Linked DNA regions of Caenorhabditis elegans. The protein of the gene in region 3 purifies or fractionates together with the protein of the main gene of each other region. This does not show direct contact. Each region holds a gene or a part of one and is shown on either strand. Other genes may lie near its edges. The genes, in order: ndx-6, W10G11.19, srp-1 and wht-3.

Region 1 (6,576 bases), on a different chromosome or scaffold from region 3:
GACACGACGTTTTTGCTGAATTATTTTCCAAAAAGTTTCAGACTATTCCATGAATATTTCCAATTTACCACAGTTTGAACCAAAAGATCTCTATGAAAAAATGGGTATTTTCTGGATTCCAACTCATTCAACCATATCTGCATTTGTCCATAAGTATACGGTATACAGTATGCAAATTGAACAGGATCTGGTGATTCAAATATGAAAGCAAATGAAAGAATCCAACGATCATTGTGTTGGGAACTACGGTAGTAGTAGATATGGCGAGATGGGATTCGAGCCCTAAAATGTTGAAATGGCTCTTTAAAATAGAAAATCGAGGGGTTTTCATCATACCAACTATTTTGAGCATTTGATTTGACTACAGGTGCTGCAATTCCCATTTCGAATAGTGTTCTTTGTTTTGAAAAGTTCACAATATTGAAGATCGCCCGCTGAAGAATTTGCAAATTTGATAATAAAATTTTAAAGTTTAAACTGCATAATTACACTAATTTTCAAATAGTACCCAGTCAAAAAGGTGTGCGCCTTCAATCAATACAGTAACCGCCGGTAACTTTCAAAACGAGGAATGGGTTACTGTATTCTTAAAGGCACACACCTTTTAGCGCGGAAAATAGAGTACTGTAGCTAGGAAAAAAGTTGTCTCAAAATGTTCTCCCCGAAAATAAAGAACATATTTAGGTATACTGGAAAATTCGTAAATATTTCAGAACCATGGCCATTGCAGAAAAAAACTGAAAACCTACAGTAACCCGTAGGGTATTGAATTTTTTTAAAAATCGCTGCGAGACCCGACGTTTCCGCCTCAGATCCAGTTTTCGAATATCAATAATAAATACAAATTCTTCAAACATTTACCTGATTTTCAGATGCATTTTTGCATTCAAAATAGAACCAAACTCTATATTTATTATTCAAAGTGTCAGGTCGAATGAATAAATCATATTCTGAACAGGAAACTTTGTCGACTCGTCCCAAATTTCCTTAAAATTTAAACTTTTTAAATATTCAAAAAATAATAATATAATTACTTCCTTGTTTGTCTATAATTGAATTTAAAACTAACCAGATTCAAAACTTGCTTCAAAAACCAAATTTCCCTGACCAGGAATTGTATCAGGATAGCTGACATTTCCAACATAGCCCATATTGAAAATGAAATTTTGTTTTTTTGAAAACCAGACCTGAGCTCCGACACCGGAAGCCGGAAGTGTGGTTGGGTGAACATTTCTAACTGCTTTGACACTTGAGCCAATTTATTCAAGAGAAAAAAGTTTGGAACAATATTGACGGACAGAATTTCGATTTATTTTAACAGTTCTCTTGGAGAAATTAGATGGAAAATTGGAAATCATATATATTACTTGTCTTGTTGGAGGCAACTGGAAAAAAAAGACGTTTGAAATTTCAGGATCAGTGAGTAAATCATAGTAAAAACGAAAACGAAAACGAAAAATAATCAGAAATCGAAGAGGAAATTTTTTCGGAATTTAGCGGGAGTTGGAACGGCTACGACTTGGCGAACGAGATGCCGAGCGGCTTCTGGAACGGCGTTCCTTTGGAGATCCATCCTCACGTGGTGGCGGTGAACGAGATCGGGAACGAGAGTTGTCACGACGATCCGGTGAATCTCTGCGATCACGAGATGGTGGTGAACGAGTACGACTACGAGAACGTCGCGGCTGAAATTATTTAAATACATTGGTGACATTAAAAGTAACTTACAGATCTTGAGCGAGAATATCTTGGAGATCTGGAGCGTCTTCTCGGTGAGCGGGATCTGAAATTTATTAAGTTTTTAAAAGAATCAAGTTTTTGATAGAGTACAAAATACATTACTCGCTGTGAATGTTCTATTCGATAGAAAGAAGTGACAACTCAAAGACAAAGAACAACGTCTATCAATACAGTTTGCCACCGAAAGTTGAATTTCAGCAACAAACTGTAGAATATGCCGATTGAAAATATTCGGGCACTTACAAAATTGTTTTCTGCCTTTTCCACACTGTCGCCGCTGGTTTCATTCAGCAGACACAGCAACATCAAAACTGCTTTTCTCTGCATTTTCAGCAATTCTGCTACTCAAGTGTCACTCAGCAAGCATTTACAGCTTCAACAGCAGCAAAAATTCAGCTCAGCTCAGCAACATCTGGCTCTGCTGCTGTTCTATAAATAAGTCAGGAAGACAAGGGTTCCATTAAGTCTCGCGCCTAATTTTTGAGCACAACTACAAGGGGAATCAACTGAGTATACTAACCTTCTACGTCCACCACCACCTCCACGGCCTCCTCTCTCATCCGATGGTCGATCATACTTTGCAAGAGTCACACGTAACTCGCGTCCATCAACCAACTTTCCGTCTGTGCGGTCCAATGCGTGCTCAGCATCACGACGTCTAAAATAATATTGATTTTCTGATGTTTTCTCTCCAATAGTTCCAATTTAACTTACTCATAAAATCTAACGAATCCGAATCCTTTCGATTGGCGAGAGTACTTGTCCCTTGGAATGTGAACATCTCCAATGTCTCCGTATCGCTCAAAAGTTCGACGCAAATCGTTGGGCGTTGTTTGGTACGACAAGTTGTCGATTTTCAGCGAAGTTAGACCATTGATATCCGGTGCGGCACGACGATCACCACCTCCTCCACGGCTCATTTCTGAAATGAAAATCATTTATGAATTGAATATAGCTAACAGAAACGCGAAAATAAGAGGAGAACATGAGAAAAGAGAGACATGTGGTAGTTAATGAGAATGAGATTCTTTTAGAAGATCAATAAAATGAGAATGAGAAGCGTAAAGTGGCTCATTTGAATTAACTGCAATCCAGCGTAAAGCTTTAGCATCATCTCCTGCTTGAAGAGCCACATTTTTCAGAAGGCCTTTTGAATCATGAAAATTGAAAACAACAGTCTCCATCCATGCGTTATCAGTGTTACGTGGGTCATCAACGTAACCTCTGTAAATGAAACATTGAGTGGGATAAAAGAGCTGTGAATGCACCTGTATAACTCTTTACCATTATTCCACAATTCATCAAGATTTTCAGAATCGACAATTCCATGCATTGCTTCTTCTGCGAATTCGCGCCGTAGAGTTTGTGAAACATGCTCTCCAGCATCCACCATTCCTCCAGGAATTGCCCACTCGCCATTGTCATGACGTTGAACTGCAACAAACTCCAAATCACCATTGTCGTTTGTTCTAGAAACGATCGGATCTGCTGCGTGGTTTGGACCCCAACGACCAAGCAAACCACGACCAGAAAGTCCCGTACGTCCAATAGGATTTAGTGGGCGAAGGGTGACAGGATCAAATGAGTACTGACTGGAAGGTTTCTTGATTGATTGAGTATATACACTCATAAACGCACCAAACATATGACACTCTATTGATTTTCCCATCGATCGCATTCCAAGACGGTTGGAACGTTTTCTCATCGATTTCTGGGTCTGCCCAAACAGCTCCATCAACTTTTGGATCGGTGTGAGCCGGAGGATTGTATCCTGACCATTCTTGGCTCCATTTGACAAGATTATCAGGCACATTTAGTCGGTGAATGTTACTACCAAGGTAAACCGTATCTAGAGGTTAAATTTGTATTTAATGTTAGATTAATACATTGTTTATACCGATATTTCTGCATTTTTGATGAACGAAACTCATTATCGGACGACACAAAAGATGATTCCAAATTGTCATAAATTGCCCAAAAATCGATAATCTTGGTTAGTGAGTGTAAAAATGCGGCAGAAAACTTTTGAATTAGAGAAATACGAAGAGTTTCGAGAAATTATGAGAGCAGTGATATTAAAAGTTGATGGAAATCTTGAAAAAAAGAGAAAATAATTTGTAAAAGATAAGTATCGAGAAAAATCGAAGGAAACAAGAATGATGGCCAGCGGAGACGTTTAAAACGAAGTGTGCGTTCTTAGTGAACACAAGAGTTGCGTCAGCACCGAAAATGTGTCAGCAAGGAAAGAGGAGGGAATTCGAAAAATAGTTTTTGACTCGTCGTTTAATAACGATTGAAAACATGGTACATAATATGAAACCAAAAGACACTCGAACGATATCATTTTATTCATAAGCGAATGCATTAAATAAACTACCGGCTGCATACATATATACCGCACAAAATTCGATGAGATACGCGAAAGAAAGCGAATAAATATTCAAGTGAGACTAACCATATATGAAAAGACTATTAAAGAAATGTTCAATATGCAAAAATTAAATAGGACATGGATCTCCTGAGATGCCAACTACTTTTTCTTCTTTCTGTTCAATTTTCTCGACGAGGAGGACGACGAATCGAGTTCAACTTGACTTTCAGTTATTTCCTGTAAATTAAACATTTTTATTGTGGCGAGCATTGGTTAACCAACCTCTTGAGTTATTTTTCCAGCATCCAACTGCTCTTTCAGCTTATTTTGAGTTTCAAAATGCATCAAAAGATCATTGACTTGTGACTGAAGATCTTCGATTTTCTGAAAAGAAAAGCTTTCAAGAGATCAAGGGAATCTATTTAGACGAATACCTTTTCATACTCGGTTCGAGCAGTTTTCTGACTTTCAATAAGCTTTTCCACTTGACCTTTCCACACTTGCTGATCTTTTCTCAACATTTGATTTATTTCACGTTCATCTTTCAACTCATTTGCAAGCTTATTCACTTTTTCATTTGTCTGCGTTGCTCGTTTCTCTGCCACTTTTCTCGCCGTCACAGTATCATCTAAATCTCCTTTTAATGATTTCAATTCAGTTGATCGTTCCGTCAGTTGATGCTCGAGATTCTCTACTTGAGCATAAGCAGTTTTCTCCATTTTTGACATCGTTTGCTCCATATCGTGACGTAGACCTTCAAAATATTTCCGTTGATCCTCAAGTTGACTGGTCAGGAGTAGAGTGTATTCGAGTTTGATTCCCTCAAGCTTGTCTCCACCCTTTTGGTTTTTGTCATCAAAGCTCTGCAATTTTCAACATTTTTAGGGAATTTGAGTGAAGACTAAACATTCTGGTCTATTTAGTCAGAATACTTGAAAACAAAATTTTAAATGAATTTATAAATTTTCTGTATAGAATGAAAAGGCCACAAAACAGTGCTGGACTTTTTTTTTGCTTTTTTTTCTGTTTTTCAAAGGTATTTTTTCACGAAAAAAAAAAAATTTTGCTTTATGATAGCAAAAATAAAGTAAAAAATCAAACACTTTGGATTTCAAACACTTTTAGAACATGATCATACTTATTATTCAACGATAAAGGGGAAAATGAATATATTACAGGATTTTAGCACTTATTCCTAGGCAGAACAAAAGTATTTGTGTGATAATTAATTTGAAACGCATTTACAGACGCATATATATATATATATATATTTGTTTTCAAACAAAAACCAATAGAATTCAATGAGAAAACCCGAAAAATTGCATCCAAAAAAATTAATTGATTCATTGCCCGAGAGGAGTACACGGCCGAGAATTTTCAAAACTAATTAGTGCGCGAAATTCAAATTAGTTATACGAAAAGGTTGATTTTCGGCACTTTGAAGCCTCAAAACATTCTTTTTTTTTGTTTCCACCAGTTTTTTAACAAAAAATTATTGTTTTTAAATCAACAATTTTTTTTTGGTCCAGTATGAACATACCGCATTCGATTCTCTCTGATACTCGACAAGTTTCCCATCAGCTCCATTTTCAATCAATCTATGCACGTAATTGTCTCCAGCATAATCCCAGACTCGTTCTCCTCCAACTTTCAAACTATAAGTATGTGAAGTGAGCTCCCAATGTCGTTGTGCATGTTGTTCTGCGTATCTTCCACAACCTATATTTCCACAAATTAGACAAATCCATAGATCGTTGCTCATTCCACAATCATTACAACGTTGCTCTGCGACAACTTCTGGAGATTGAACATATCGACAGACTGGACAAGTATTGTCTGCCCATTGTTCCAGGCAACGAGCATGAAATGAATGATTACATAGAATTGCAAGAACACTATCATCCATTCGTTCCAGACAAACTGCACAAGTTGGAAGCTCCGTAAGAGATGTATCATCGGAGGAGAAGAGATCATTCGACGTTGTCTGAAATTTATAAATTGTTTCGAAATATCTGGAATTATTGAAATAAAATAATAATAACTTACACATTCAATTCTATCCACAAAGAAAAGCGTGCAACAATACGATTCGAGATCATTAAACGGGCAATTGTTGAATTCCTCGTAGAATGTTACAGCATCATTCTGAAATAAATATTTGCCAATTAATCGTTAGTATAACTTGAACCTACATGTTCCTTGAACTTGATAATCAACATATACTGATTTGGCGCTGGATCTCGAACAACTTTAATACTAACAATCATCGGAAGTGAGATACACATGAATGATATAATCTCACGAACTTCAACTTGTGCTGGTACAGCATACATACACAACATTCGGCACTGTGCAACTTTTGTCAACTTCTCATCATTGTACTTGTAAAAATGCATAATTCCTTCGGTCTTTTCCGTGAGAGGATTTCCAGAATAATAGGCAACTTGGTCAGCTGAAATTTTTAG
Region 2 (8,286 bases), on a different chromosome or scaffold from region 3:
AGAAAAGAGGAGACGGAGAGTATTAGATATTGAAAAGCCTGTATCTCAAGAACGGTGTAAGCTATCAAAAAACTTACAACTATCAAAATGGGCAGAATTTTAAGATAAACATTTTGTTAGTTGAAAGTTTTCCAAAATCTATGCTAGTTTTGAAGATACGAAGGTTTCTGTCTACCAATAAGTAAAAGTCTGACTGATAAAAGCTGATGAAACCGGCTTTTACTCTAAACAAATGGAAAATGAAATGGTAATTCGAAATTCGAAATGAAAACTGAAAACTACGGGGGAAGGGGTGGAACACCAATTTGCCCACCACCACTACCACTTTCTAATATAAGTTCCTATTGAAACAGTCAAGTACATTTAGGCAGGTGAGAGAGACGGAGGGATCAATTTAAACGAGAGACGCAGAGAAAAACAAGATTTTTTTGTATTTTTTTCTAGAGAAACGAAATTAGCAGCGAGATGGAAATTTGGAAAATGAGAGGAGACGACGTAATGATGATAAGAAGATGATAGTGTTGTGAGGGATATGGGGATGGGCGGAAAACATAAATAATGATGCAAGCGCGCCCCACGGAGAATTAGTAGAATTTTGAAAAATCTAGCGGTGTAACCGCGCTCCAGAGAGAATTGGTGGAATTTTTGGCTAAGCTAGTGTTACAAGTACGCTCCACAGAGAATTTTGTAAAAATTTCGAAAAATATAACGATGCAGCCGCGCTCCACAGAGAATTGTCTATAATTTTGAAATTTCACGTGATGTTAGGGTGTCTCATTTTGGCTTGATCTACGTAGATCTACAAAAAATGCGAGAGAAGAGACGCAGGTTTCTCAACTGATTTCGCATGGTTAAGAACGTGCTGATTCCCGAATTTTTTGTAGATCAAACTGTAATGGGACAGCCTGGCACTATATGAAATTTATTGGGATGCAAGTACGCTCCACTGATAATTGATTTCAAAAAAATTTTAAAAATACTGATGCAAGCGCGCTCTACTGGTAATTAGCTGTAATTTTGGATTACAACTGCGCTACATAGAGATTTTGGGAAAATTTTGAAAATTACCTTGCTGCAAGCGCGCTCCATCGAGAATTACTAAAAATTTTGGAAAAAAGTGAGGTGTAAGTGCGCTCCACTGAGAAATATTCAAATTTTCGTAAAATCTAATAATGCAAGCGCGCTCCACGGAGAAAAGTTCAAATTTTTTGAAAAATCTAGTAATTCAAATGGAGAGAAAACTATTTTTCTTGCGAGGAAAAAAATTGGAAAAAAACAAATTTTCCAATTTCCCGAAACAACGTCATCATCTTGCCCACTTCGAAAAGTCGATAATTGCTGCCAATTCGTCTTTCTGTCTAACAAAAAACTTGTAGAATTTCAATTTTTACAGGAAAACAAAGAAAATAAAAATAAATTACAATCCAGCGAAAAAATATTTAATTATTTAGCTTTTGCGTTGATTTTCGTCTGCAGATCCAGCACTTTTTCGGTGATTTTTTGGTTGATCATTGACCGCTCGGCGACAAGTGTCTGGAATTCTCCGTAGGTTCTGAAATTTTGGAAATTTCAGATTTTTAGGCTTTAAAAACTGCAATTACTTGGTCCAGTCCTCCAGGGCCTTCTCGTATTTTTCGATTTCAGCGTCAAGCTCCGGTTGAAGTGCAGCCACTTTTGAGAAGAGCTCCTGGTCGAGGCAGGGCTGAAATTTTTTATTTTTCTTCAATTTTCTCTGAAAAATCGCAAAAAAAGACCTCAAGAGCATCTGAAAATTGTTTAATCCGTTCCGCTCGTTCATTGATCAGCTTTTCCGCGTATTTTACAGACTCTATTTTGTCAGTCAGCGATCCATATGGGCCGGATGTCTGAAAAATCGATTTTTCACAGAAAATTCAGTTTTTCCAACGTACTTCCGTGGCGATTTTGCTCAAATGCTCCAGCTTTTGAATGGGAATCGACATTAGCAGATTCGCCTTACAATCATCTCGTAATTTGGATTGAAGAGCCTCGATTTGAGAGGGAATTGATGTTTTCTGGAAAAAAAATTGGCATTTTTATTGGAAATTGCGCGAAAAAAGCTTACCGTGGTGAGATCATCGATTCCTAGAACTTCTTCAATTTCAGAAATCTTTTTTTCAAGCTCGATCATGTCCATTTTCAGATTTAAAATCAAAAGATCGAAAAAGAAAAATAATAATTGAGAAATTGTGTGCAATGGGACGTGACGGTGTCAATGCGTACTTTGCATTTTATTTGACGCGCAAGTGATTTTCAGTGTGGAAACTAGGATATCGCCTGCAATTCTACATTAAAATTGTCTGTTTTTTATTAAATCTTAGTATGAAAGCTTAAAACTGAAAATTTTCATCGAAATTTCTTGTTATTTCCTTAAAACAGCTAAAAAAAGGATTCTTTTGTCCGCAATCTACCGTGGCGGTGTACCTGCGGAACTGGCATTTAAAATGACGAGCAGGGAAAATTAATTAATTCTTAAATATAAATTTTTAATGCAATTTTAATCTGTAAAACATCAAATTAAAACAAATTAAATTATTTATTTTTACCAAATTACAACAGAGCAATTTTTTAAAATTCCTATAGCTCGTCCCTAGTCCACTCCACGGCCGTGAACCCTTTCTCTAGCTCTTCCACGTCATCATACCGCTCCAACAGATTCAAACGAGCAATTGGGAACTTGAAGTTTTCAATGAGCTCCTGGCAGTGAACTGGCTCCAAATTCCGAACCCATGAAAGAATTCCAGTGAAATTGTCGTTTTCAGCGGGTTTTGTGTGGATGCACCATCCTTTTTCCTGGAAAAAATGAATTTAATTTGAAGTTAAAAAGTGAAAGTACCTGTCGCCGAATGACAATATAGCTCGGGGAATTCACATTAAAAACGCTCATCACATACAGTCCAAACAGGTCGAAACCGGTTACAGCCGAAAAATGAGCAATTCGATCGCCGCTTTGCTGCTCGGCAGCAGATTTTTTGAATCCTTCAGAATTTTTAGAGTCCAGTGGGTCGAAAAATACGACCAGAGGCTTCTGGGTTCCGGTGGCGAAGAGGAAATCGGAGGGACTTGACAATTGATGACAGCCCGGGTGTACACCGTCCTCCAAGTAGTCGACCATTCGATTCCAGTTGAGATCCTTATGAAGTGTGAAGGCTTTTACGAAGGGGTCATAGGGCTTCATCGTGATGAAGGCAGGGTAGATGGACCTGAAAGATCGGGAAATTTGAAATTTGGAAAATTCGAAAATTTCCAGGAAAAAAAAACCAATTTTTCTCGTTAAAATTCAATTTCTTCTGAAAAAAAATACATTTTTAGCCAAAATCCCAGTTTTGGGTCTTGGCACGAACGAATTTGGCTATCGTGTGGGGGTACTGTAGTTGGAAAGTTACGTTCGCGGCAGGACCCAAAAAGTTGCGATTACGACTAAAAACTCGGACTGGCATAATATTTTTTCGATCAAATCCATGCTTTGGGTCTTGGCACGAACAAAACTTCTCAGCTACCACGTGGTGTCAGAGTGTCTCCTTTTTGATCTACGTAGATCTACAAAAAATGCGGGAGAAGAGACGCAGAGTTCTCAATTGATTTCCCATGGTTAAGAACGTGCTGACGTCACTCTTTGCTAGGGGAAAAATTCCTGGATTTTTGTAGATCAAACCGCAATGAGACAGCCTGGCACCACGTGAGCTACCATGTGGGGTACTGTAGTTGGAAATTTTCGTTCGCGGTAGGACCCGGAAAGTTACGGAAAATCAAATTTTGAACAACATTCTCCACCAATTCTTACCATTTCTTGACCTCCTCGGACACCAGCGCTGTCAAATGGAACCGCCCGTGATTTTCCCGCGCAAATTTCGCGTAATTCCTCCAAATCTGCGACTTTTTCGTGTCAATAAACAGAATTGTTACGGTTTCCCGCGCGCGATCAAATCCTGGGACCATTCCACTACGGTAGCTCGGCACCAGCTCCTCGTTGAGCAGTTTTACCTCGGGTTGCTTGGTTCTGGAAGAGAAATTTCATTTGGTGGCCGAGTTTTATCCCCCACGGCCACGTCAAAATCTTACGTCAAAATCCAGTCATAAACCTGATCCTTCTGGAATTTTCCACGGAATCTTGCCTCGAGATGATCGTCAAAATTATCTAGTTTGAACGAAAAAAGCGTCGGATTCTCATCGACTCCGTGAGCCCAACAACCAGAGTTTTCACTGGAATTTTCAGATTTTTCAGCAAATTTTCCAGAGGAAAGCTTACTTTTTACAGTCCACCACATAACCAATCTGTTTGCTACGCTTCAGAGCATCTAGGAAGTGAGAAATAGCCTCCCAGTGTTCGAAGGAATCTGGAATAAGGGGGGAAATGACGGCGTGGCCTAGAAATAAATGAGAACTCGGCCACCATCACAAAAAGCTATGTGATGGCCGCAAAAACATGGTGGCCGAGTTTTTTTTTTCCGCGGCCGCGTTCTTTTTCTTCCAGCTTCTCACCTGCCCTAGTAAACAGCACAAATCGATCGCGATTCCTGGTTTTCAGCTCATTTTCGCCAATTTTCATCCAAAAATCGAATGGAAAAGTCTCCTCCGTCTCGTCTTTTTCGAAAATTTCAAAATTTTTTAACGATTTTTTCAATTCTCCGGCGTCGAAAATCGGTAGGCTATCCAAGGCAAGATTGGTGTAAAGTTTGTCGGCGAATTTTTGGAAGAGTTCTACGAAAAATGTGTCCAACGGGAAGGTGACCGGCTCCTCGATGACGGCAGATTTCCAGCTTTCGCTATAAAAATTGGACGTGGCCGTGAAAAAACTCGGCCATCAATTGTCAAAAGGTTGTGATAATCGAGTATGTTTAAAACTTGCAAAAAGATTTTGAAAGTCGGTTTCAATAACTATATTTAATGACAAAAGTCGGACTTAGAAAAAACTTGGCCACCAATTTATTTTCTCGTCCACGTAGAAAGAAAAGAGAAAAAATCGGTGGCCGAGTTGTTTTCCATTTTTTATTAAAATTTTAACGGTGGCCGAATTTTCTCTTCCACGGCCACCTACCTTGAAATCTGAACCCTATCGATTTTCTCATTATGCTGTTGAAAAACCAAATTGCTCGTCCAAAATCGATTCGAATTCGCCACAAATTTCGTGAACCATTCCACTTTTTCCACGATTTTTTCGTCTGAAATTTTGAATTTTTCAGAGAAAAAAATTATTTTCAAATCCAAACTTTTTTCCCAAAAATGATATGTCACAGTGACATGTTCTGCTGATATTAAAGAGCACAGAAAACTTGAGAATATTAGTGCAAAAAGGCGCATATTGATTGAATGATTAGTGTGAGTCTTATCAATTATCAGTTGGTGGTCAGTGCTCCGTTGTGGAGACACAGAGCGGTAGCTCGACAAGCAATTTCTGGAAAAATTTATTATTTTTTGAGTTTCCTGTGCCTATAGACAGACTCTACTGTGATTTTTGGGTCCCGCCGCGAAATTTGGTTACTGTAGCTTTGACTTCAGCTGTGTAAGATTAACTTGAAGCCTTGAAAACTCTCAAAATTGTATTTATAAAATTTTTTTAATCAGATTTTATTTTTTCAGTTTCTCCATGCTCTCCGCTTTTGCATGGCTTCCATTTTGCCTGCAAAAAGTGTAGGGTCCCGCCACGAAAACTGGTTACTGTAGCACTAACGTCAGCTGTGTAGGAGTTATTTGAAGCCATGAAAAATCTCAAAATTTGAATTTCTGAAAAATTTTCAGCAGATTTCCCGCTTCTCCGTGCTCTCAGCTTTCAAATAACCCCATTTCGCCTGTAAATATTTAGGGTCTCACCACGAAATTAGGTTACTGTAGCACTAACTCCAGCTGTATGAGAGGCATTGGAAGCCATGAAAACTCTCAAAATTTGAATTTCTGAAATTTTTCAAGCAAATTTTCAATTTGTCCGTGCTCTCCGCTTTTAAATAGACTCAATTTTGACTAGATTCCGAAAATTTCAGGGTCCCGCCACGACATCGGGTTACTGTAGCACTAACTCCACTTGTGTGAGAGGCATTGGAAGCCATGAAAACTCTCAAAATTTGAATTTCTGAAACTTTTCAATTAGATTTTCAGTTTATACGTATTCTCCGCTTTCAAATGAACACTATTTTGCCTCCAAAAATTTTTTGGTCCCGCCACAAAATCGGGTTACTGTAGCATTTGTTTCGACTGTGTAGCAGATTTTTAGCACGCTGAAAACTTGTGAAATGTGAATCTCTGACTTTTTTCAAGCTGATTTTAAGTTTATCCATGTTCTCAGCATTTGAATGACCCCCATTTTGCATGCAACAATGTTGGGGTCTCGCAACGAAAACTGGTTACTGTAGCTTTGATTTCACGATTTTGTAGTTTTTTTTTCGCTAAAAAGCACTCTGCCTTGTATTAGGCCGTTCAATAAGTTTTGTCGTTTTTTTCCAGTTTTGATTTTTTCTTGGATATTTTTTTGCGGTTGTATAGAAGACTGTTATTAATGACAAGCCCAACGATATCAGCCATTTCGGTCAACTTCCAGGTTGTTTAAAACTCCGAACTATGACAACGAAACAAAATTTTTTTTTTCGATTTTTTTTATTTCCTCATGAAATCAAAAACTTTGTATGCGTAGATGTATTAGACAGTTAGTTAAATAAAACTGAAAATTTTCAGACTCAGGCATAGCTTATTGGTAGCGCTACATCTGTTGGAAGTGCCGAAAACGCTTGCAAAATTGTCTTTTTTATTTTTGAGCGGTGCTAACTTTGAAATGATGAGAGATATACAAAAGTAATGTATTACAACATTAATGTACATATTATAAGCTACAATTTATCAGTTTGGTGCAACGTTGGATCTCCTCACGTTTCTGAGTTACAGTCGATAGAAGTGCGCTTGGTCCAATTTTCAAAAAATCCTAATTTTTCATGTTTTTGCCAGTAACTCCAAAACCAGGTGTCTGATCAAAAATCTTTAAATCAAAAAATAAGTGCTTTTTCATTATTAACAGGTATTCAGTTGACCGTTTTGTTATATCTCATGTGTGCGCAAAGATATGAATCGTAAAACAAAAGTTGCGGAAATTTCTGAAAAATTTAAAAAAACATCGGGAAAAAATTTCCGAAAAATTTTTTTGAAAGATAACTCCTAATGGTTTTTTGATTATGATAAACTAATTGATAGTCAAAATATTAAATGTGTTTCTAGACGCCCATGTTGTTTTCGAGAAGAATAAAATGGCTTTTTGCAATATTTTTCATATTTTTCTGATCATGCATTTTTTGCTGTTTTACGATTCATATCTTTGCGCACATATGAGATATAACAAAACGGTCAACTGAATACCTGTTAATAATAAAAAAGCACTTATTTTTTGATTTAAAGATTTTTGATCAGACACCTGGTTTTGGAGTTACTGGCAAAAACATGAAAAATTAGGATTTTTTGAAAATTGGACCAAGCGCACTTCTATCGACTGTAACTCAGAAACGTGAGGAGATCCAACGTTGCACCAAACTGATAAATTGTAGCTTATAATATGTACATTAATGTTGTAATACATTACTTTTGTATATCTCTCATGGTTTCAAAGTTAGCACCGCTCAAAAATAAAAAAGACAATTTTGCAAGCGTTTTAGGCACTTCCAACAGATGTAGCGCTACCAATAAGCTATGCCTGAGTCTGAAAATTTTCAGTTTTATTTAACTAACTGTCTAATACATCTACGCATACAAAGTTTTTGATTTCATGAGGAAATAAAAAAAATCGAAAAAAAAAATTTTGTTTCGTTGTCATAGTTCGGAGTTTTAAACAACCTGGAAGTTGACCGAAATGGCTGATATCGTTGGGCTTGTCATTACTAACAGTCCTCTATACAACCGCAAAAAAATATCCAAGAAAAAATCAAAACTGGAAAAAAACGACAAAACTTATTGAACGACCTAATAGTTTGTGCTCGCCGCTGACTAAAATTGATAAGATAATTTTAGTTCTTATCTGTCTGTCTCCCGCTCGTACTGTTCCTCCAGTTGTTATTAGTCTTCTATGATTCTGCTAGATAATAATAAATGTTTTGTCTGAAATTGTCTGAAAATTCCATGCGATCACATTTCGAAGAGGCGGCGGCGACGGTTCGAAAAAATTCAAAAAGTCTGAGAAATCGACGAGCCGATCAGGGGTTTCTCCTAGCGCAGACGTCATTTCAGTTGTGAGTTTTTGAAAAAAAAGATTGAACAGATGAAAACGCGCTCTATTGCGAATTATCGGTGAATCTC
Region 3 (7,219 bases):
AGAAGTTGTTAGAGTTGTAGAAGCATATGTGATTGATGTTTTTACTTCATTTTGCTTCCTTCGACAACACGCATACCGGAAGATTTCTGAAAATTTTCACTTGTTGCATTTAAGCATTTAGATTTCGCTAACTTTTCACGGCATTTCGATATTCTCTCACAATAGTCAAGATAACAATTGCATCTATGGCTGGAAATAAAGAAATTGCACACAAAAACATGCCGGATGGAAAACTGATTGCATAATTCAAAAACGGATGGTATAGTATAAAAGTTAGCGGGGAAAATAGGAATATGGATGGAGCGATGATTTGAATGACAAGCGTCCGGAAGAACTGCCGGTGGACTCTGCGTAGTGATTCAGACATCATTTTCATGTTCTCCTCCATTTTCCGATACATAACTACTGCACAAAACATCATAATTGCATACTGAGCAAACATGATAATGCATAAGATGAAATTTGCAATAGAATTCCACCATCTGAAACTAAAGCTTTTTTGTATGTTTTAAACTCCCAAAAGACATTTCCTACCTAAAATGACCATCCTTGTCGTAGGCAACTAATGTGAATGCAACCAGATTGTCAATGTTGATTCCATATTTTATACTCATTTCGCCTCTGAATAATATGGAAAAATTACCAATATTATTAACCAATAAATATTACACAATTGGTCAATTTTATTTAAAAAGTATCACCTCTTTAAAATTTCGGACATTTTCAAGAACTTCAACAAATGTCGCTCTCTCTAACACCCGATTTAGCTTATTAGTAATGTACCTGAGATAAGCCTTAGCGTAATCATCAACTTGAGAAAAAAGGTACATCGATCCTCCCCATAATATCCCACAACCGGAACAATATACAGCTATTGACAACATTCTCCATCCTTCGAAATACTTTAACCCAAATTGATGGAATATTGCACAGTATCTATACACAAACTGTACTGATAGCATGCAAATTGTTGCTGCGTATAATACTGCGTAAAGTACGAGGAATAGTGTTAGTGAGTCTGGGCTGAGCCCAAACGGTCGTTCTGTAATGAACAATAGCCAACTCGCAGTGTACGAATGCTCATTCTAAATGTTTTGTTAATAGTTGTGATCTACTATTTTTTAAATTACCGGACAAAGTATCCCTTCAACTATTGAAAACAATGTTCCCAGAACAGAAAAAATAATCATTAGATATTTGTAACTTCCAACATTTTTATTACTAAATTTCACAATTATTATAATAAGAATAGTGCAGAAAAATGAAGTGGAGCAGAAGCCGAGATGAGAAATACGTTTAGAGACAACTATGTAATTTTCGTAAGGAAAAGTTTGGTTGGAAATATTCATAACACTTTCTGGCCAATAAGAAAAATTAAGAAATAAATTATTTGCTACTTTTAAATCCGCCGAGATAAGGGCGGAGCTTTGCAAGGAACGCCAAATGGGATTATCACGCGGGACAGCTGGAAACCGGGCGACCGAGAATCATGTTGAGTTATTTAAGCCACTTGAAAACGCAGGACTTGAATTTTTAATGAAAAAAAAAATGAAAGTTTTAGCTTTATTGTTGTCAAAAAGATTCATTCAACATCAGTTGGTATAATGGAACAAATTTACAAAAAATCAATACAGTCTATACACTTAAAAAAACCTGCCTGTAAACTTTGCTTTCGGTTGAATATTTGTGTAACTTCCAACATGAATAAATTTTACAACCTAAATATTTTAGTTATTTGGGGCCAAGGATGCAAATAATTATAGATTCTCTAGAATTGTTAATCAATTTTTTCAGTCTAGTGAGTCATGGTATGGGAATTGTCTGGAAGACAGATTTTCTGCAGGGTGATCGATACTTATGGAAATATTTTTTTGTGATCAAGTGGCTTTTTGTTGTTGGCAGCACATTTTTGAAAGCTGAAAATAAGTTTAGGTACAATTTCAGCATATTGGTAATTAAATTTGGCTTGTCAATTTATTAACATTAACTATTTCAGCTGAGCTTTTTCCAAATTCTGTTTTTAATAATAATCAGGCTCAAGTATTTCAGAACACTGGTCAAAAAACAGTCAACAAGAAAATCAAAGTCTATGTGAGAAAGAGATGTGGTTGTGTTTTGTTACCTTCCTTCTGCAAATAACAATAATTATTCACGTACGTTATGATGTTAGACTTGTTATTCAATTTTTGCAGACATATTGCCTGTGCGAATCTGACGAATTAGTGAATTGTTTTGAAGATCGATGTTCTACAGGTATTCTGTCTGAAAACGACTCGAGAATTTAATAAATCAAGGCGGAGAGTAGCGCCTGAACACCATAGTAAAACTTATAAACAAAGTTTTTATTTTATAAAATATCGCTTCAAAAAAAGATAATCAATCAGTTTTTGCGGTTTTTCTTAGAATTTGTCAATTAAAAAATTTTTTCAAATTTTGTAGTCTACTTATATTTCTATTATGAATATTTAACAATTGCGGGGATTCGAATATAGGATTGTGCTGTAGTTTTTTTCAAAAAGTGACAAAAAATGCGCAAAAACCATTGTAATTAGATTTTGGTTCAAAAATCCTATGAGTAGAAATTAAAAGTTTTGCAAATAATTGCTGGAGCTACAAATTATGAAAACTTGACAAATTTAGCCGGTTGCCGCACAACCCTGTTTAACACCTCTCGACGTCCTGCGAAGGCTTAAGTGTTTATTGATGAGTTGCAAAGCCCTGAAAATGTCGGCAGCTTCTTTGCAAGTATCAAACTATCTACGAAATTTAAGTTATGGGAAATCTTTAATTTACAAAATTTCAAATTACACATTTTCTCATCGAATATAAAAAAGTTAAGTGTATGTTCCCAAGAACAATGGAGAATTGTCTTTGATAATTGCAAAAAGGAAGGGGTGATCGACACGAATGTGAAGAGGTTCATCGCTGCTGGCGGAGGTGAAGAAGATCTTGGCTTCGGTGGCAGCAGCGGCTCGGGTTCCGACTTGATCTACCTGGAAATGAAGATTTAAATACCACTGTCAAGATAAAAGTTTCTAAAAAAAATCACCTCAATCAGTGCCTGATGTGTAGCCGACGCCAGCTGAAGCCCCGGCCCGATTCCAGAAAGATCAGCCTGTTCTGTGAACAGCTCCGCGAGCCCGAACTTGGCGAGGGCGGTTTTCAGATTTATCTTATAGTCCATCTTAAATTTGGGGAAAGTCAAAAAGATGTACTCTTGATAGACATTGTTGATAAGATTATGGAATTTCGCAGCGTTCAGGGATTTCAGATTTTCAGCCAAGGCGAATCTTCGCGTTGGGAGGAAAATGGCAAACCATGCGGATTTGTCTTTGAATGGGATACCAATAACCTGAAATTAGATAGTTTTCAGTTTTTTGCTGAACATTTTTCAGCTAAAACCTGCCACTCATCATCCTTGTTATAAAAGTAGTCTCTGGTCTCGCGGAGCATTGGGACAAGGCGATTTTCAGTAGCAGAAATAGAGAAGTTGGATTCCGCGGGTTCCCCGAATTTTCGACGCCAATCGCCTTGGAAGAAAATTGCATTGATGAGAATTGCGTCGACGTCTAAAACTGTTAAAAGTTGTTTCGGAAAAAAAAATCTAAAATTATCGTTTTTAGATTTTTCGATTATCTGATAGTTCAAAAAAAATTTTTTTGAGCCTGAGCCTGAGCCTGAGCCTGAGCCTGATCCTGAACCTGAACCTGAGCTTGAGCCTAAGCCTAGGCACCTGGATGCCCCAGCAGGCATTCAAGTTCCTACACTCAAATCTCACCTTTCAAATTGTCCGGCTTAATCATATCAGGTATCTTTCCTTTGGTACTCTCCGATATAAACTGGTTCATTATTTTTGCGGCTTCCTGAGACTTTTTGAAGTCGATTGTTGCCGTTTCAGCGTTGTAATGCTCGCGGAGCTCATCGGTAAAAGCTTTTCGAATTGCTTGTTCTGGCCTAAAAATTGGATAATCTGAAAATTTGCAACACAACTACCAAAAAAGATTTGAGAAAAAGTTAATTTTTCCGTCAGAAAACTCTATTTTTAAGTTTTGATTTTTTTTTTCGAAAACCCGAAATGATTGATAGACCAGGAATATGCTCAAATACTTTTTTAAATCTTAAACGTACTACAACAAATATTTCCACTACAGAAAAAAAACTCACGAAACAAATAGTCTGTTGGCAATCAAAGTCTCCACATCGTTCACAGAACTATTCAAAAGTTTATTAATAAAACTGAAATGCTCGATAAACTGCTCATCGGTGCTCCCATTCACCACAGAGTTTCGGATGTCATGTCTGGTATGTCCCTTAGCTCCAAGATGCACCAGAGCCAACGATAATAGAATAGACACCGGGGAGAAGACGCATGGTGTGAGCTGGTCGGAAGTTAGATCTGATAGCAGTTTAATACCAAATTGAGCCTCGGTAAATGTAGAATTTATGAGCGAAAAGCTCATAATTACACGATCAATTGATGTGGTAGATGCTTCGGAGAGAAAAATAAAGTTCAAGGTAAAGTGAACAGCTGGTATGTTACACAGGAGTTTGGTTTCGGAGGGGAGGAATCGAGTTTGTTTGTTGTTTGTTGTTGTGTCGGCGTGAAATTTCGCAAGGAATTCAATGAAAAGAATTCAATTCAAAAATTCAATTCATTGTGCGATGACACCTACTTCACATTGAACATAAATCTACTTTTAAAAATTTCAACTACTTAAATTCCAATTGTCAATTTTCCAAGCTTTTCCCTTATTAATTAAAAAAAAACCTATTTCTTCAAAAAAATTTAGACGGAAAATATTTTTTTTTTTCGGGAATACAAATTTGGAAGTTTTCCCAAAAATGGACAGAAATTAAGGTTTTTTTTTCTCATTCTTTATTACGTTTTTTCTGTTATTTTATGCCTACGCACTAGACAGCATTCATAGGCATACACGGAAATTAAAATGGTACTACTTGGTGTTTCTAATCACAAGAGTTGCCACATGATACGATTTACTCTCCCAAACATCGGTTGAAGGAAGTTTTGTTTCAAAATATGCATCTTAACAGCACCTTAATCCTAAACTTGTCAGCGGTCTGCGCAGTTCTTATTAATTTCCTTTTGATTGTTTTAATTCTGAAAAAATCCCCAAAATCATTGGGCTCATATAAGTTTTTGATGCTTTATATTAACCTTTTCGAGTTCTCCTACGCAATTCTATACTTTGCAGAAAAACCTGTAAGTTGTGGGATCTGCCGCAGCCGACAACTCACGGGTTTCAAGATTTAAGTTTAAAAAACCAACCCGTGGAATGTCGGTTGCTCCCATATTTCTCTAACTTAGATAAAATTATTTCCACAGGATCTCTTCACCAAAAAGTCTGCATTCTTTTTGATCGTTAATTGGAAGGAGTCTATTTTCCCAGCAACCATGTCATGTTTAATGGATCGTAGGTACCCCCAGTTTTCTGAAAATCTTAATAGTTTTTCAGTGCTTTTCGTCGGCTTTTTTGGAACGTCCATGTCAATTCTAGCTCTTCATTTCATTTATCGATTTTTCAGCGTCACAAAGTTAGTAATATTTTTCAAATAAAAAAAAAAAACTCCCAAATTTTCAAATATGTTAAAGAAATTTTCAATTTCAAATTGTTTTCAGCAGTCGCTACCTTAAAATCTTTGACTCATGGCTAATTATTCCCATTTTCACAGTCCCTCTTATCAACGGCGTCCTCTATATGATTACCGGTGGTATTATTCTGTCGGCTGATGCGGAAACGGATCGGTTCATGAGGTCTGAACATTTCAGAAATTCTGGTGCTTATTATCATGACTTTCAGAGAAAATTATCTAAAAGTAATTAAAAATCAAACAAATCTTGAAGACCTCTATTACATGGGCCCGTTTTTCTGGCCGAAACTTGAAAATTCAATAACGGAAACGTATTTTAGTTGGAAAGGTGCGGAAGGCTCATTGATAGTTATGGGGTCAATTGTGAGTTTATTTGTAAAAAAAACTGTAAAAAATTGTCAAACATTTTAGGGTCTCTCTAGCTCGATCATGATATTCTTCGGAATTAAGGGATATATAAGTATGAACAATCTACTCGCAATTACAAGCAACTCGGAACAGTTTCAAAATATTCAAAAGCAGCTTTTCCAAGCTCTATGCATTCAAACCATAATCCCAGTAGTTTTAATGCATATTCCGGCTTCTGCAATTTATATCACCATTTTCTTCGAGAAATCTTCGGTAATCGTCGGAGAAACTTTGAGCTTAACGATCGCGATGTACCCTGCAATGAATCCGCTTCCAACCATTTATATAGTTCAAAGCTACCGAAAAGCCGTGAAAGGTTTGTCCGTAATGAGAAAAATCATTTGAAAATGTTAAATGTTTTCAGATTATTTTATTTCAATAAAAAATACACTTTTGAAAAAGCCAACGGTGATTCCTGTGTCGCATACTGTTCAGGTCATACCCGTCTCCTCGATTTTCACGACCACAAGTTGACAAAAATTTTCATTTAAGTACACAATTATTTTTGCTTTGATTTTAAAAAAATTTCATTCCTTTCCATGAATTTCGTGATTTTCATTTGTATTTTAAATTTCTTGTTCACTAAATTTATATTCTCAAATAAGAGCGAAAATATTTTCAGAGAACATTTGATTTCTCGTCAGATTTTTTTAAAAAACTTGAAGTTCCCGGCAAAATGTATTTTGGAAAATTTGAAAATTCCTTACAATTTGAGAAAAAAAAAATTAAAATTTTGATTTACTGAGATCAGTTTCTCAGAAAATTTGAGTTTTCCGCTAATTTTTTTTGCTGAGAAAATGTGTTTTTTCTGTAAAAATGTTTTTAGAAAAATTGGAAATTCCCTTTTTTTTGCGAAATTCTCAGAGAAGAGCGAAAATATTTTCAGAGAACGTTTGAATTTCCCGCCAGAATTTCTTAAAAAATTGAGTTTCCCACCAAAACATTTTTTAAAATTTGAATTTCCCGCCAAAAAATTTTTATCAGAGAATTCGAAACTTACTCAAAAATTGAGGAAAAAAAAATTATAATTTCCCGAGATCATTTTTCTTAGAAAATTTGAGTTTTCCGGCAAAATTTATAAAAAAGTGCATTTTATGTAAAAAAGTTTTCAGAAAAAAATGAAATTCCCTCCAAAATTTGAAAAAAATTAAAAATTGAATTTCCAGATATTTTTTTCTCAGAAAATTTGAGTTGAAAAAAT
Region 4 (9,612 bases), on a different chromosome or scaffold from region 3:
TTGGGCGAAAGAATGTTGAAAAATATTCAAATTCACGTTTTCTGCCTGTCTGATTGTTGAATAATTTAAAATTGTTATTTCAGGCAACATTTTTTTGAAAAATTACTAACTGTTGAATAATTTACTAACATTCATTTTTTGCAGCCAAATGGAACGAATGCAGAACAAGTTTAATAGTGATATGGAGACATTGATCAAACTTGTAAAAGAGCAATCGATAATCCGAAACAATGGATCATCAAATGAAGGTAGGCGGTGAAGAGAGTATCTCCCCGCCCATTCATTCCTTCTAATCGATGAAAGGTTTGTTATTCGCATCCATTGAACCACACACAAAACACACATGTATTCACCGGTTACTGTAGTAACTAATCTACCCTCCCTGTACTTTCTCTTTTTTTTTTATTTAATTAGATAATTTCAATATGCTATGCTAGATTCTAGATACAATTAATATAGTTCCCTTTCTATCTAGGTAAAGCTCGTCCCTTGATTTTTTTTAAATTTTTCCTGATCCTTTTTTTTCGATTCATTTGATTCATTTTGTCGTCAATAATTCTAGTGATCGTCAACGTGTGTTGCAGTGTTACTATAATAATTTTTGAAAAATATAATATTACTTATTCATTGCGTTGTACGCCAATTTTATCCTGATATATTATCTCTCTGACTAAATAGGAAACATTTAGCGCATATTAGAATTCTCTAAGACTTTTAGGTAAGTTTAGGTAGGCATAAGCATACCTACCTGTTTTTTATAAAATACCTATGCTTTCATAGGCACTCAGGTAGGCAAACGCGATAAACGTTCTTCTAGGTGAATAGGTAGGCATGAGATGTCTCATTTCTTTTAGACACACAACAGGCATCAGGCATTAAAGGCACACAGGTAGGCGAAAAGTCACCTACGACATTTTAGATTCCGAGGTAGGCATCAGGCGACTTATGACTTTGTAGGCGCGCCAAGTTTGCGCGCGAAGTACTGAACTTTCTGTTTTTCAAATAGATTTTCTTTATGATGTTTCCCAAAATTTGCGCGTAAAACATGGTGCATCGAACGCGATGTATCTGAAATTCATGTTAACCCTCATCTCACCAGTCTCTCAATTCTGCAGCCGACATTTCACGGGATCTACTCCTATGAGATGTTGGCTGCTTCACCTATCACTTTATAAACAAATCGTTGTACCACTGTTAAGTGAACCTCTCTACGTATCTAATTATCATCGTAATCTTCTGATTTTCCCTTCTTCGTCTCACAACTCCTCTTTCTAGTAAACTTTCTTCTTTTTTAAATATTTTTTTTTGGTGAAACAAGTGGAATGTGTGTGTTTGATGTAATGCGATAACAATCGATACTTGCACGATTGGATGAATATTTTCGAATATTCATTTCAGGAATGAATGGGTTTTTCGTTTTTTTCTTTATTTTTTGGATTTTTAATTATTTTCTTTCTGAACTTTCAAGTGATAAACAACGTGGCTGCGTGTAGATCACAGAAAATTTTATCAGAAGCTTCTGATTCCCAGATCGAGAGCTCTTTTCTCTATCAATTATTTTCAAATATTCCAGAGCCCAATGCCCGTTACCGTCCGAACAACTACATATCGTCAGCGATACGTCTTCCGAATGGAGGTGGTGGTGGAGTTGTCGATGAGATGAGAGTCTCGAGGCTCTCATCACACGAGCCACCAACACCCACACAAGAAACTGATACTATTCTATAACCCGGTTTCTCTCTTTCTCTGTCTCTCTCTCCATCTTTCTTTCTCTCTCACATCCAACCCAATTCAGTCCTTCTTTCCTTTTTCTCAGGGATCTTTTTCCGAGTGCCTCTTCACAAAAACATTTTTATATGATTACAAATTGTCCAGAGTTTTATTCGTAGGATCAAAAAACGTTTTGAATGGAAAATAGTCGAATTGTGCGAACACCGGCGTACGCATCGAGGAGAGGTTAGAATTTAGTTTTACACGAGCTGCGTAAATCGACACAAGGCCGCTTCGATGCACCATGTTCCACTCTCAACTATTTTCCATCTCAAAACGTTCATTTTCTCTCAACTCCCGGTTTGCAAAGCTGTGTGATTTGTTTTTTTTTTTCATTTTCCACCAAAAATCAATAACCACACTTTTATACCCCCTCCTAATATTCTCATATCTAATACCCCCGGATAGCCACTAGTGATCTCTTTCCATCTCCCACAAAACTAAAGGAAACGTTTTCTTTCAAATGCCAAAAAGTATTTCAAATCTTTTTTTTTTTTGCAATTTCAACTTCAAAAACAAAACAAAATTCGTGTTTTCATCATGTCTTTCTCGCGGGTTCATATGTCGCAACACTTTTTTCAATGTTCTCCATCAGTTTTCCCCTAATATAATGTTTTTTTTTGCAATTTTTCTTTTAAAATCTGATCGTCTAGATGCCTTTTCTTTGTATGTTTTTCTTTTGAAATTTTCTCTCTTCGTATCCCAAAATCACATCACATCCCCTTTTTGACATTCTTTCTATGCACCCACACTAAACAAAAAAATTTCGATAAAAATTTTAAAATTTGATTTTTTGTGTTCAATTTTCAATTTCAAATACAGTACTGATTTTGGTATCGGATTCAGGATAAAAGAGCAAAAAGTGACTTTATCTGCAGCCGACACCTCAGGGGGGGGGGGGTTTCAAACAAATATATATTAAGAGCTACAAAAATGTTCAGCAAACAAGTTCATAATAATAAAATCATCGAGATAATCGAATTCGAATGAAAAGTGCAATATATCCAGCCAAATAGAAAAAGATCACAATTGAGCAGAGTCCAATAACATCCAATTGATAGTTGTCTTTGTTGAATGAGAACTGTTTCAGAATCAATTCTCGATACTGAAAAAGGATTAAAGTGGCATGTGTCACAAAAATAGAACTTACGAAAGGATCCCATTTCGGATTGTCCACTTGAGACCACTGATTCACGACGAGTCCTTCGAATCCATATCTGAAAATTCATTTGTCGTGAGTACGAAGCCGTTCAAAAGCGCATACGCCTAGAAACGGGCAAAATTTCTAACCTACACCAACTAGTCCATTGCATCCACCGAATGTAAACTGGAAAGTTATTCGTATTTCCATATAATCCACTCAACAGTGCAAAAAGGCCTGATGCTGGAACGGCAAAAGCAATTGCCAGCTGAAAAAAAACATGTGTTTTGAAAAATCTGATGTTAAAAATTTACCGAAGTAGTCTCGAATAGACAAGCCAAGAAGAGGCCACACGAAGTGGCAGACTGCTCGACGAGCACAGAAATTAGAATACTTTTAGCCACTTGTTGCCAAGTACTATTCAATCCAATCATCCAATATGATATTACAATCATTAGAGCTCCGTCGATTGTAAATAATGGGAGATATGACAGAAATCTGAAAGTTGAATCAGATTTATCAACTGTGAGATGCTCTTCTTGACAACGCAAAAAACCATTATTTGGGCAGAGCCTAATATTGATTTTTTTAATACTTCGTCTTTAGTTTCGTACAGTCACAAAATGCCTACTATAAGCTCTACCTACTACCAACGTGAATCTTGCTCTATTTTTTTTAACTGAAAAATTGATCCAAACACGGGAATTTGCGTCAAATTGCAGAAATGGGCGGTAGGCAGAAAATAGGCACATAGGCATGCAGTGCTAACCATGGAAGCATTGTTTTTCATATGCTCGGATGTTTTACTACCTATCAGTGCACTCAAAATATTTAGTTTTCAAATAAACGTATAGAAAAACTTCCCATATCGTGTCATGTTTCCGTACTTTTCCACTTTTCTAAACTAACCTCGAAATATAATAACTAATTACATAAAACAATCCATCATGATATTCTCTCGCAATTAATGGAAGTTCATGTTCCATAAATGTCATAATTCCAAACATCGTGGAGAAAGTGAGCTCCGCAATTAGAAAATAAAGAGCACTATTTGTGTTCCGTACTCCTCGAGGATCAAGTGGTTGTTGCCAATAAAGAGATCCGATGAATAAGCCCATCACCACTTTTTGAATTAGTTTCATTCGCATTTGAGCTGGAGAACGGATCACATCGAGGCAAGCTCTGAAAAATAATGTTAGAAGCAAATCAAATTTTTATTGCACCATTGGTTTGCAAAGAAAAGCGTGCATCATCATTTACTATATATAAAGCGCTTATTCTGTGTGTCCATAGTTTGTAGTCTATGTAGTCTTTGTAGTCTGTGAAGTTTTGACTTCTGGAGGGATAGTGAGTTGGGGTTAGTGTAGGGATATAGTCGGGGTACTGTAGTGGTACAATAGTGGTACGGTAGGAATACTGTAGGGTTACGGTAGTTTCATAAAAATTAATTTTCAGCTCTAGAAGTCGGGGGCCGCGCCGAAGGTGCGGACCACAGCTGGTTTTTTATAAAGTGCAATCGTGGTAGGATTTCCAAACAAAATTTTGGCAACTTATAGTATCTCGGGTCATTTTATAGATATCAGAAAATGTTGAACTACAAAACTATAGAAAAATACATGATAAATATTTTGTCAATTGGCAAAATTTCGAAAAATCAAAAACAACTGAGCTATGGGATGTCAAAGTTCAGCAACAGTTTGTGGTTCAAACATGGTGCATTTCGTAGTTTACCATAAAGAAGCGTGCTTTAACTATTATTTTTCCAGATAACCAACCTCTTTAACAATGCTCCAGTTTCGGCAAAAAATCCTGGATTCTCTATATATGGAGGTAGCTCTGTAGTCGCAATCACACGTATTTCCACTATAGATTTCTGATGAATTATCGATTTTTCATAAAATTCAATAATTTTTCCAATTGTTTCTCGACTCTTTGTCTCGTTGTTTGGTATCACTGACAATTTGGATTGTATCCATTCAGGTGGATTGAATAATTTCGGAATTGGATGGCCACAGTCAGCGAAAAACTGGAAAAAAGGTTTATTCGAAAATTTGTAAATTCAAATTATAGTTGGGTATCCGAACAATTCGATTTTCGATTCAAAATTATAGGCAGATGAGGGTCTCCACACGACTGAAACATTTCGGTATGCGCCTTTGAAGAGTACTGTACTTTTTCGCAGATTCCACATTCACTAATATTTTTCTGAATCCTCAGTTTCGGTCGTGCCAAGACCTTTTGGCGTGCGCCTTTAAATAATTTCTTAAATTTCAAAATTACCTTCACGGACTCATGAGGTGTTCCCATAAAAGCGGTTTTTCCCATCGACAAGAAAATAATTTTGTCAAATTGAAAAAAGAGCTCGGCAGTAGGTTGATGGATCAGTGTTCGACCGGAATTCGCGAGATTCTTCAAAATTTGTACAACACTTGCAGCCATAAATGAATCAAGTCCAGACGTTGGCTCATCAGCAAAAAGTAGTGATGGATTGGATAATAGTTCACAGGCAAATGTCAAACGACGGGCTTCACCACCGGAAATTCCTTTTACGAGTCCAGGTGTTCCAATTTTCAAATCTCGACAATTTTGGAGTCTCAGCATTTCAATAATCTCATCCACTCGTTCTCTACGTGTATGTTTATTGGCTTTCATCCGAAGTCTTGCCTGAAATTTTTGGGAGTTTGCGCGTAAAGTTTGATGTATCGAGTAGGCGCTGACGCTTGATCTTCAGAAATCGGGAGTTCTGGAGATCAAACACTGTCTTCTGATTATTACAGTTTTAGGTCTTGAAACGGTCAAAGTATTCTCAAATCAAAACTCCAGAAAAGAATGCGCGCCTCTAAAAGGTTACTGTACTTTTCATTCCGTATAGTATTTTTACTTGAAACTACGGTATTCTTTAAAGGCGCACGTTATTTTAGGTGACATTAATTCAAAAAATGTTATTCGTGCCAAGACCAAATACTGTATTTTCGTGCGAAAAAAAATGCTGACCTGGATCATTAAATATTCATCAACAGTCAATGTTGGAATGAAAATCTCCTGTTGTTGTGCAAAACCAGAAATCAATGAAATCTCCTTCCCGATCTTTGTTCCATTCACTTTCACGGTTCCATTCTTCTCCAATCCCTTCATATTCCTGCACATTAGCACATTCATTAGAGTGGTTTTTCCTGCTCCGCTGAACAAAATTGCTTCATAACTATAACTTCATAACTATAACATAACTAAAGTTTTACCTTGCACCCATTAATGCCACCATTTCTCCTGGCTTTGCTATTCCCGAGACTCTATTTAACAGTTGCTTCTGCTTTTTGGAAAATAGCTTTTTCCGAGTTTTTACCCTGAAATATGAAAATATTAAATTCAAACACCCGCGTATTTCTCAGAACTACGGTGTGCAAGCGGTGTTTGCGTACCGCTGCGGAATGCATCACAGCCTACGCGCAAATCATCATCATTTTTATCATTTCTTTCTCGAATTTTCTTTGTTTTTTGATCTTTGTGTTGAAGATTTGTTTATATTTTACAAAAATTATGACTTAAAAATTAGTAAATTGCTCTGGGCGTGTTATGTGATGTTACTATTCGTCAATTTTCCAACTTACTCGATGTTTTCCCACGTGACTGTGATGGGCGTCACCACTTCCGTCAGCTGAAAAATGTATTTTACTTCGTTGCAGCAATTATGTGTATTTTATATGATTTAAACACATTTCTTCAAAGATATATTTGTTGATTTCAATTTACAAATGCATTTCAGACCGAAAAAATACTAAGAATCTCCTCTTGAGCTAAACTCCACGTTTTCAGCTTTACACAACATAATTTTACCTTTTGGCTGCTTGTATCGATTGATTCGTACCCGGCATTCCATCTTTTTCTTTCCGCTAGTAAATCGAATGGCATTTTTGTAGGCATTTGACAAATAAACTATTTGAATTGATTCAATTTTTAATTAAAAATTATAGAAATGAGTAGATTGTTGATTTTCCAATCTAAATTTTATCATCACGGATACGTAAATTTTGAAAATAGAAAAAATAGTCTTACAACGCTTTTATTACGATTTTTATTTGTTGTAAAATGCATAATACAAACTTTGAAAAGCTTGTATTTATATTTAATGATTCTAATATGATTTCGCTTGATTTAGCTCAATTTTTTGTTTCCCTGTCGTATTTCGCAATCTTATCTCTCATCACATTGAACAGACAAGTGATTTTTGAACTATTTCGTCACTACTCGGACAATATAAATGCTCTTCGAGACTAGTGGAGGCTACAGAGTTCCTGATTTCTGTCATTTTTAACTAAAAAGTTAATTTAGAATGTTTCAATTTATTCGAATATTTTATCTTCTGGCTTTTTTCGTTCACAGTTTTAATTATTTGAAATCTTCATTGAAATTCTATCAATTTCAGAAAATGGTTCGTCGGCGCACTGCTTCCCCATCTCCATCGGCCCCAGTTCGATCGGCTCCACGTCCAGCCGCCCAGTCATCCTTCGCCGCTCCACCACCAAGACCAGGTAAAATTTAAGCCATTATTTTTTTTCAAAAACTCTTAAAATAATATTTCAGCCGCCGCTGCTCCAGCTTATCATCCACCAGCAGCTCCAACTCCAATGGGAGCCCCAATGGGTGCTCCATCTCAGGGACCAGGATTGATGAAGCAAATGGCTGCAACCGCCGGAGGAGTCGCCATTGGATCCGCTGTTGTGAGTAGTTTTATTTAAATATATATATATTCCCCGGATTTCGAAGCTAACCTATTTCCAAGACCATAATTTGGGAAACACTTAATTAAAATATCGAATTCTAAAATTCCAGGGTCACGCCGTCGGAGGAATGTTCACCGGAGGCGGTAGCTCTCATGCCGAGCAAGCTCCAGCTGCTGCTGCTGCTCCAGCCGGTGCTCCACAAGCTTCTGGCTACTCGCAGCCATGCGAATTCGAGTGGAGACAATTTGTGGACTGCGCACAAAACCAATCTGATGTTTCTCTGTGCAACGGATTCAATGATATTTTCAAGCAATGCAAGGCCAGATATGCCTAATCACAGTTCCCCCGTATAGATATTGAATTAAGTGAAAACGTTTAGCATTTGGTGGAAATTGATTATTTCTCTCTGAAAACTCAAATTCTACTTTATGGTTATCGCTTTCAATTTGACTTTTTTCCTTTTTTTTGTCGTATTTAGCTCCCTGAATTCCAAATGTTCCGTAGTTTTGTTCTTTTTCAATTTTCCCCAGTTTTCTGTTCGCAAATAAATTGACTCGTTGTTTTCTTGTTTTCCTCGCAGTCTTTCGCACTGATTTTTGAGGTATTTGCCATGTTGTTTTTATATTTTCTGGTTCATTCGCGATTTTTAAAAAGCAAAAAAACACATCAATGAGCGCGCGGGTCGGCCTCCAAACACTCACTATAAATACTGCAGAAATCGCTTCATTTTATTATTCCTCCGCTCGCTTTTTCTCTTTTCTACTGCAAGATTTTTATCGATGTTTCGTTGCTATGCATTTTTAAACTCCCCGAGATTCAATTTTTAATCTTTCGAGAAAAAATAGAGTTTTCAATAATATACGATAATTTCTTATTAATTTAGAGAAATATTAATTTTTTAAAAAATTTAAATCGATATATTTTGAAAAACTATAGTTTTTTCGCCATATGGTATATTTTCCGTTAATTTAATCTATCTTTTCAGTAACTCACAATATTCTCCTCCATATTTATTTTATTGAATATTCCAAAATTTAGAACCCATATACTTTTAATATTTTTAGACAATTTTTAAAAATATAAATATACGGGTACGGTAGCTTCGAAGCTTTGGTCGTTTCGAGACCCATTATTGTATTTGTACTTGAATTTCCTACAGTAATCTTAAGTGAGCGCGGCGAGACCCATTCATTTGAGTGAACATCCCTTGAAGTTAATCGAAAAATAATTGTATTATTATTCTCCAGAAATGACAGCTCGCGCTCTTCACTACGTCTTCAAAGTGGCGAATCGTGCCAAGACCATCGACTTTTTCACAAATGTTCTGAATATGAAAGTGAGTATTCACATAATTTTTATTTAAGCTGTAAATTAACTCTCAGGTTCTTCGCCACGAGGAATTCGAAAAAGGATGCGAAGCAACTTGCAATGGACCATATAACGGACGATGGAGCAAGACAATGATTGGATATGGCTCAGAGGATGAGCATTTTGTTCTAGAGATCACATATAATTATCCAATTCATAAGTATGAGTTGGGTAATGATTATAGAGTAAGAAAGCTTGAGTCTTGATATTATTAATACAATTTTATTTCAGGCAATCGTCATCGATTCTGATCAACTCTTCGAAAAAGTCGAAAAAATCAATCATCGTAAATCTGGATGTGGAAGACTAGCTGTGAAGGATCCAGATGGCCACGAATTCAAGATCGGAAAGGCTGATCAATCGCCAAAAGTGTTGAGAGTTCAAGTGAATGTTGGAGACTTAGAGAAATCCAAGAAATATTGGAATGAAACTCTCGGAATGCCGATTGTTGAGGAAAAGTCGAGCAGAATTCGAATGAGCTATGGTGATGGACAGTGTGAGCTGGAGATTGTGAAGTCTCAGGATAAAATTGATCGAAAAACTGGATTCGGAAGAATTGCATTCAGTTATCCTGAAGATAAGGTAATTGTTGATATTTTCTATTAAAAATCT

Evidence for each region.
Region 1: the proteins of srp-1 (region 3) and ndx-6 fractionate together in Caenorhabditis elegans (co-fractionation; one large-scale study listed by BioGRID). This does not show direct contact.
Region 2: the proteins of srp-1 (region 3) and W10G11.19 fractionate together in Caenorhabditis elegans (co-fractionation; one large-scale study listed by BioGRID). This does not show direct contact.
Region 4: the proteins of srp-1 (region 3) and wht-3 fractionate together in Caenorhabditis elegans (co-fractionation; one large-scale study listed by BioGRID). This does not show direct contact.

The regions. Positions count from the first base shown.
Region 1 is NC_003280.10:5,386,167-5,392,742, forward strand, and holds ndx-6 (Putative nudix hydrolase 6), read right to left. Parts: upstream 3,716-6,576; 5' UTR 3,672-3,715; coding exon 3,638-3,671; intron 3,590-3,637; coding exon 3,379-3,589; intron 3,333-3,378; coding exon 3,009-3,332; intron 2,965-3,008; coding exon 2,751-2,964; 3' UTR 2,663-2,750; downstream 1-2,662. Other genes in the region: ccpp-6 (Cytosolic carboxypeptidase 6), read right to left, coding at 1-15, 69-282, 337-434, 862-986, 1,070-1,151; rsp-4 (putative splicing factor, arginine/serine-rich 4), read right to left, coding at 1,494-1,685, 1,729-1,783, 2,261-2,398, 2,455-2,660; brap-2 (BRCA1-associated protein homolog 2), read right to left, coding at 4,271-4,348, 4,394-4,495, 4,546-4,974, 5,652-6,095, 6,158-6,256, 6,304-6,563. UniProt on the Caenorhabditis elegans protein: Probably mediates the hydrolysis of some nucleoside diphosphate derivatives.
Region 2 is NC_003280.10:3,547,705-3,555,990, reverse strand, and holds W10G11.19 (DUF4105 domain-containing protein), read right to left. Parts: upstream 5,340-8,286; 5' UTR 5,320-5,339; coding exon 5,229-5,319; intron 5,181-5,228; coding exon 5,057-5,180; intron 4,785-5,056; coding exon 4,501-4,784; intron 4,356-4,500; coding exon 4,268-4,355; intron 4,222-4,267; coding exon 4,081-4,221; intron 4,019-4,080; coding exon 3,803-4,018; intron 3,222-3,802; coding exon 2,855-3,221; intron 2,812-2,854; coding exon 2,596-2,811; 3' UTR 2,536-2,595; downstream 1-2,535. Other genes in the region: dnc-3 (DyNactin Complex component), read right to left, coding at 1,444-1,552, 1,602-1,702, 1,755-1,865, 1,911-2,033, 2,084-2,155.
Region 3 is NC_003283.11:750,599-757,817, reverse strand, and holds srp-1 (Serpin domain-containing protein), read right to left. Parts: upstream 4,536-7,219; 5' UTR 4,461-4,535; coding exon 4,165-4,460; intron 3,955-4,164; coding exon 3,779-3,954; intron 3,570-3,778; coding exon 3,403-3,569; intron 3,353-3,402; coding exon 3,050-3,352; intron 2,994-3,049; coding exon 2,835-2,993; 3' UTR 2,694-2,834; downstream 1-2,693. Other genes in the region: str-20 (Seven TM Receptor), read right to left, coding at 1-86, 133-488, 535-621, 784-1,085, 1,131-1,349; str-262 (Seven TM Receptor), read left to right, coding at 5,039-5,221, 5,345-5,432, 5,475-5,553, 5,639-5,773, 5,820-5,973, 6,022-6,334, 6,383-6,492.
Region 4 is NC_003281.10:4,144,720-4,154,331, forward strand, and holds wht-3 (ABC transporter ATP-binding protein/permease wht-3), read right to left. Parts: upstream 6,880-9,612; 5' UTR 6,833-6,879; coding exon 6,746-6,832; intron 6,567-6,745; coding exon 6,520-6,566; intron 6,256-6,519; coding exon 6,151-6,255; intron 6,093-6,150; coding exon 5,906-6,092; intron 5,576-5,905; coding exon 5,192-5,575; intron 4,938-5,191; coding exon 4,687-4,937; intron 4,094-4,686; coding exon 3,821-4,093; intron 3,410-3,820; coding exon 3,226-3,409; intron 3,180-3,225; coding exon 3,061-3,179; intron 2,988-3,060; coding exon 2,921-2,987; intron 2,876-2,920; coding exon 2,735-2,875; 3' UTR 2,706-2,734; downstream 1-2,705. Other genes in the region: Potassium voltage-gated channel unc-103, read left to right, coding at 145-248, 1,574-1,728; har-1 (Hemiasterlin resistant protein 1), read left to right, coding at 7,338-7,440, 7,493-7,629, 7,742-7,966; glod-4 (Glyoxalase 1), read left to right, coding at 8,882-8,968, 9,015-9,185, 9,232-9,582. UniProt on the Caenorhabditis elegans protein: Required for efficient RNA interference (RNAi) of pop-1 indicating a role in the germline development.